Danio rerio: one gene and its partner. The protein of the gene in region 2 purifies or fractionates together with the protein of the main gene of each other region. This does not show direct contact. Links are inferred from orthologs where the notes say so. Each region holds a gene or a part of one and is shown on either strand. Other genes may lie near its edges.

Region 1 (3,659 bases), on a different chromosome or scaffold from region 2:
TTAAAGGTAAATAAAGATGAAGGTTATATAGTGTGTCGTTAAACAGATTTCTATTTAAAGAAAAGAAAGAAAAGAAAAGAAAAGAAAAAACACCCTGCAAGTTCTAAAAGTGATCAAGCCTCAGGCAGGTTTGAAAAAGTAACTCAAAAGTAACATAATGAATTACTTTCCATAAAAAATAACTAAGTAACGGAACTAGTTACTTTTTGCAGGAGTAACTCAATATTGTAAGGCACTACTTTCAAAAGTAACACTGGCTAGTAGTATTCTTCTAACATGTAAAAATAATTTAATCTAAAGTTATTTGTGTATATTTTGAAGATTATTTTCTGATGATCATTTTTATATCAATACTATTCGATAACAAAATTATTATTTATACTTTTTTTTAAAGTAATGTCATCTAATTGCTAAGACACTGCTTTAACTATGGGTTTATAATGAGGGTGACTTGAAGTTAGTTTCTTCCCCCAAGACAGTCCTGTATTAGAACTTATTATCCAGACTTAATATAGATAGAAAGTTTATGTTTAATTTTTATTTATTTATTTATTTTTGAGGGTGACAAATATTATTTACATATCAATTGAGTTTTAGTTTGTGAAGAAGTGACCTGTGTCATTTAGCATCAAGCCAGTTTCAGTGAAATCCTCAAAAACAATTTACTTTAGTTATAGCAAGGTAGAAACATAAATATTGAAACACCCGTCAAAGATCTAAAGTAAATGTTTAATTATAGTTTATATAAAGGCCGAGAAAGATGCAGAGAGATTTTTTACTTCATTGCACATTCATTTTCCTATTAAACTTTTATATTTACAGTCAGTTTTCCACAGTTCTACAAGTTTTACAAAACAAATGTATACATTTACAAGGTGTATTTGCAAGAAAAATATCTCCAAAAACACCAAATTGATTCCAAAAACACACCAAACCTTTTCAAACATTTTCCAATCATTTATTCTTTAAAAAAAAAAAAGTCCGGACTTTACCAACCGTAACAATGTATAAGAATTATTGAGGTCTTTGTTCAATTTTATACATTCGGTTTAAATAGATTGCCACCTTTGCTTTACCAATTATAAAAATTAAGTAGTTTACAACTATTATTTCTTTTTTACTGTGTTTAAAATAAAGACTTGTTCAGAGAATAGTTAATTACAAGTAAAAAACAAACCTTTTTTTAAAATCAAAGAATGATATTAATCTAAAACATTGGGTAAAAGCATGAAAAAAAGCTTAACAACTTTCTCCCACTTTTTTAGACAATGGTGGTTTATACACAATAGTATAAATTCATTTAAATTCAAGAATACTCTCAAGATGCATCTTTACTTTCAGTGGATAAAAATCCAGCCACCCATTTTCCACTTTTTCAAAAACAAACCATTAAAACATCCACCTCAGACATGCCAGTGAGAGAGAGAGAATTTTATGTAACACTAAACCTAAAATGGTAGCAATTTCAAATGTATCGCAGCTTTTACATATTAATATCTATAGCAGTAACTTTGTCTTGATGTGTGCAGAAGATCACCTGGAAGCAGTCGAGCATCTGTTCTCTATAGTACTTTCTGGAGCACGTGGGAAAAGTCAACTCTAAACTCCAGAGCAGTTCGGCAGCTCAGCAGACTTTTGATCAAGACTTTAATGTGGGCTTACAACTGCAATCAGGTGTTTGATTGTTTTTAAGCATACAGTATGTGTTTATGACCTAAGTGATTAGTCTTAATCATGTATCCATACTTGTATTAACTAATTAATTTCCTGGATCAAACTTAAATTAGTCTTATACCTGTTAGATCATAGTATGGCAGCAGATTGTCACTTTAAATGTACTGTTTTGTTGATACCTGTCCAATCCAGATTGCAGGCTGAGTTTAGTGTGTTTTTGTGCAGGAGTGCAGGCTGGGAATGTTGGTCACTCTGCAGGAGACTCTGTGTGTAGTGGTAGAGTTCTGGGCTCAGGAACACAGTCCACTCAACAGCAGTCTGGTGCAAAAAGGCTTTAAAGACCTGGCTGAACACATCGCTCTACTGTGCCAAGGTATCCCATAGTGCAGATGGAAACTGGCGAAGAATCACTTTATGCACTAAATGTAACAAATAAGAATTTCAAAAATACATAGATATTATTTATTGGAAATGAAACGTGGAATTTATACATTTCTTTTTGTCTTTCTTTAGACCTTGACTTTGACATGTTGAAGGAGGTGGTTCCAGCCCTTCGCTCCGCAAGACTCCGGATGTTCACTGCCGATGCAATTTACAGAAACATCTGTTGCAGCAGGGGCCTGTTCTTCAGCTCTGAACCACTCTGCCTGCTCAAAATTGTAGGTTTTTATCATATACAGTGTTACAACATCAAGATTTATGGGGTCCGCATGTTTATTTATAGGGTCCAAGCTAGTATTACATTTTGCCACACATTTTGATGGAGCTGTTCGCTATGGCAAATAATTAAATGTGTATTTATTTATTTATTTATTTATTTATTTATTTATTCATTCATTTATTCATTCATTCATTCATTCATTCATTTATTTTTAATCAATTGATAATTTAACTTTGCACGACTTCAACATGACTGAAATAGCACTATCTTCATTAAAAATTGTCTAATTAAAAAAGGTTATGTGCCAACTTACACATGACGTGGTCAGAATTTTATTTTATTTATTTTATTTTATTTTATTTTATTTTATTTTATTTTATTTTATTTTATTTTATTTTATTTTATTTTAAACAAGTGTTAATTAAAGGTATGTGGCCTGAAACAAAATTCTGTCAGAAGAATAGTTTTTTCCACTTAAATCTATGTTAATGCCATTTGTAAGAAAGACTTGTATGTTGTTCTTGCTGTGAATATAGCTATTGGGGTTGGGAATCTTTAAGAACTTCACAATTTGATCCGATTCTGAGTCTTGATTCAATTCCAAAGCGACCTACATTTGTTTTCTAAACGTTTTGGCTGTGCAAATATACTGTTTTTCGAACTTTAATTTTGAACCAGAATTGGAGTTTCTATGCTTTTGCTTATGATTGTAACCAATGTTTTATTTTTTTCATCAACAAAGTTATATTCATCCTGATCAAGCTCTGATGTACACTGAACGTAACTGATTACAAAGAGCATTTTTAAAGAACAAACAGTTCTTATTCCAAAAAAGAGAGCATTGCAATGCTTTGTTTATTTATAACCTTTCAACAAAAAAAGTCTTCAAAGCAAAAATGTTTGAATAATATTGATATTTGCAAATTATATAGGAATTCATTTTAGTTCAGAGACACAGAGCACTAGCTTTAAAACATAGTAGTAATGTTTCGCTTTCAAATTAAACTAATTTAGCTGCACATGTACATGTGTCTGTCAATTGTACGGTAAGTGATCTGCCAAAATGATAAAAAATATTAGCATAATAGCTTTGAAAACGCAGTCCTTCCCCTGCAGTTCAAAGCCACACCTCCTGAAATCACAAACGTGCACAGTAAAACTGACAGTAAACAATCCACTGGATCATGTCATTCACCGGTTAGAAAACTTTACACTACTTTATAATACTACAATTGCCAATGGAAAAACTGTATTATACCTTGCACGTTTTCAGTTGTGTAGCAAGCTAAACTTGTCATAATTTGCAATATTTTATGTATGCAAG
Region 2 (3,659 bases):
TGGATTGTATTTTTCCCCACTGTTTTGTCATGTACCATTGAGTGAATTAGTAAATTGCACTGCATTGGATGTAATCAGTTGATGTAAAAGCTGATTGTCGTGATTTTCAGAATTATTTTGGAGTTCACATTCTGTGTTCACTGGCGGTAATGATTTGTGCAACACATTTAGTTTGTGACCTAGAATAGATACTGTATATGTGGAATCCTTCACCTGTTGGTTATTAAGTTTGCTTCAAAAATGTTGGTTGTATTTATCTTTATTTTAAATGTTTTTTTGTTTAACAGCTGAAGAAATCGCCAAAGAAGTTGAAGCCAATGAGCGACTAAAGAATCAGCTGGACAGTAAACGGAAACCTGTATGTACTACTATGGATTGTCGTTTCTAAATGATAAATACTGTATTAGGGCTGTCAATCAGTTAACCATTTTAATAGAATTGCTTGCACAAACATTTCATCTGATTACACACATTTAGGTTATAATTGTATTATGTATACAATATTTTTGTTATTGAATCTAAATGGCTTTTTAGATATTATAGGCTGTGCTATTTGGATACATTTACAGCATTTATTGCATGTCCCAAATATTTTTAATGACTGCAAAAGAAAGAAGCAACACAAGGGTGATTAAATATATAATTTTCATTTTTGTGTAAACATTTTTGTTAATTTATATGAGACTATAACATGATTTAGTTTAATGAAATAATATAAATTATGAGATCAGGTCTATGGGATGTTTCATAATTGGTCCATTTGTCCAAGAATGAAAAAAAATGTTCCATTTTCTGATGAACAAATATAGTAATTTGCTCTATTTTTATAAATTTCCATTGTAATTTCCATCCATGCATTTATGGTAGAACTTTCTTGTGACAACTTTTTTTGGTAATGCTCTTTTTGTCAGCCACCAACAAGATATTCATCAGATACTTATTTCTTTTTTTGTTTTTTGTTTTGTTTTTGGGATATTTCAGCTTTTTATAAGTGCTGTGACTTTGAAACAGCTTTTTAGATTTTTATTTTTAGTTATTTTTTATAATTATAATAATAACATCTCTTTCCCCCCTTATTATACGTGTTTCCCAGGTAATCATCACTACAAAGAACCAGACAGCCGAAGAAATTGAGGAGGTGCACTCGATGTATCGTAAGTCCTGACTTCTCAAATCTCACATTTAAAAAGCAATGAGACTTCTGCTCTGCTTGAATTAGAGGATGTGCTGTCCTTGCGCTGTTGGAAAATAATGTTTGAGGGATGTCACAACAGGGTCACATTCATTCTCCTGCTCATCCCCATGTATTGTAAAATAAAAATGCCATTGAAATCTGCACTGAAAATTATTGACTACTACTGCTTCAAGGTTGACTAAGAAAATGCATTTGCTCAATGACCAGTCAGGTAAGGATGAAAGAAATCCCTTGCTTTAGCAGTGGTTAGATTGTAATTTATTCTTTAACTGATCTAGAAAACATGGGCTTTTAAAGAAAATTCCTGCTTTTAAATTCTTATTACATTTTAATTCTCAATTTTCAGTCTTTGTATTGGGGGTAACGCATTATAAGTAAAGTGCGTTACGTAATAATATTACTTTCCAAAGTAACGAATAAAGCATAGGTCTCAAACTCAATTTCTGGAGGGCCGCAGCTCTACACAATTTTGATTGCACCCTAATAAAACACAGCTGGTCCAACTAATCAAGGTGTTCAAGACTACTAATCTCTAGTCTTTACCACTTTGATTGGTTGGAGCACCTTTAATATATGGGGCATCTTTGTTTGATTAGGGTTGGAGCAAAACTGCAGAGCTGTGGCCCTCCAGGAATTGAGTTTGAGACCTATGGAGTAAAGTAACATTACTTTTAGGAATAAGTAAAATTATTTGAGTTACTTAAAAAAAGGAACTCAAGGTACTTTTTACCTTGCTTAATTGGCTTTTACAAAATAAATTGTAGAATAAAAACTACCTTAGTCAGGTTGAATCACACAGAGAGCGTGCCGTGAGGGAACAGACAGTTAACTTGCACTCATCATCAGGTCTCTTTTTCACAGCATGAGTCAGTGTACTGTTCTAGTAACTGAATAACTCAGGATATTAGTTTATTTCGAGTCAGGGGTTATCGGGTATGTTAGTACTAAAGACGCAAACCATTTCATGACAACGCCATCCCATTTAATGAACTGGTTCAACTGGTTCGCTGAGAAGATCCAGTTAAAAACGAGCAATTAATTTAAGAATTACTTGTCATCGCTACAGACAGTCAGAAAAAGAAATCATAGCAGGCCGGAGATTTACATTTTAGCAATGGATTCTTGTTAATTTGAACTCATCGAAGAAAAGGAAGTGGATTGGTGTTAAGTGTAGATTATGTGTAAGTAAAACTCTTGACAATTGCAAGAAACACAACATAAAAAAACAAACAAACAAACAACTGGATGTACACCCGCACTTCATCTCCAGCTAAGCAACAAATGATTGACATCAGCTCACAATCTCCAGGTAAAACAATTAATTCGACTAAACTTAAAAAAAAGGGTTATTGGGAGATGCAGCCATTGTATATTGTAGAAGTGACTATGTTTTATAATATAGTAAGATTTTTTTTCTCTTTTGGGAAACTATTTGCACATTTGTTAAGGCAACGTGAAGCAATTATTCAGTGTTTAAAGCTCAGATTTATTTAGGGGAATGTTTTTTTTATCGTCTCACTGTTCATTTTATTAAACATTTTAAAAGTTTAAAATCTGTTTTTGCCTTAATATAAATTATTTTATGTTAGTACTCGAAGGCTTTATTGCAATCTTTATCATAATGGACAGGGAATTTGCTTAACTAATAACACAAAATGTACAAAAGTAGCAAAAACATTATTTAACATGCTTTTATTATTATGTATGTGCCGCATGTATAGCTCTGGGCTCAGAAAGATATCTAAAAATATAATATCCTATATTTATTAAAGGAAAATGAAGGTTATACAGGTTGTTGTTTAATGCAGAACTTATCTATACAAAAACATGAAAAAACACCTGCTAGTTCTAAAATAAATCAAACCTCAGATAGGTACGGAAAAGCAACGCTAAATTAACTCAAGTTATATAACACACTACTTTTCATAAAAAGTAACTAAGTATCGTAATTAGTTACTTTTTTAGGGGAGTAACTTGATATTGTAATGCACTACTTTTAAAAGTTAAAAAATTAATAAACTTTAAATTGATGTAAGCTGCTGTTAAATATTAATTGTTGTAATTAAAATAAAACAAATAGCTGATTAAAGTGCTATCCAAAATAGAAAAACACAGTGCGTTTCTATGCAGAACTTGTCTGTCCGATTATGGCACATCTGCTATCGCAATCATCAAGCGTTCCTATTTTGATTTGCTGCTTTAATGTAATGCCCATGTATCATCGGTGTGCTCTGGAAGGGTACTAGCAATTTCCGTTTCCACCTCATATATCAGATCTTGCTCAGGTGCGGTCTGGACTCCATGCAGAACTGTGCTGCAGAGATTTCCAAACCGAATACAGATTTATCTATGCCGTGAATGTAGCCGCGTACTTCATTTGAAGTTTGTCTCCAGACGATTTCATTATGCATAATCTCACTTCCGTTATCCTCAGTGGTTCTTAGCCAAAATGCTTCCTAGAAAC

What was found. The genes of interacting proteins can lie anywhere in the genome.
Region 1: the proteins of rad18 (region 2) and slf1 purify together in Homo sapiens (affinity purification with mass spectrometry; 4 studies listed by BioGRID and IntAct, with this or other methods). This does not show direct contact. The link is inferred for Danio rerio from reciprocal best matches to the Homo sapiens genes RAD18 and SLF1.

Annotation. Positions count from the first base shown.
Region 1 is NC_133180.1:54,463,857-54,467,515, forward strand, and holds part of slf1 (SMC5-SMC6 complex localization factor protein 1), read left to right. Parts: intron 1-1,529; coding exon 1,530-1,674; intron 1,675-1,899; coding exon 1,900-2,047; intron 2,048-2,187; coding exon 2,188-2,333; intron 2,334-3,659. UniProt on the Homo sapiens protein: Plays a role in the DNA damage response (DDR) pathway by regulating postreplication repair of UV-damaged DNA and genomic stability maintenance.
Region 2 is NC_133181.1:44,383,690-44,387,348, forward strand, and holds part of rad18 (E3 ubiquitin-protein ligase RAD18), read left to right. Parts: intron 1-287; coding exon 288-358; intron 359-1,093; coding exon 1,094-1,154; intron 1,155-3,659. UniProt on the Homo sapiens protein: E3 ubiquitin-protein ligase involved in postreplication repair of UV-damaged DNA. Postreplication repair functions in gap-filling of a daughter strand on replication of damaged DNA.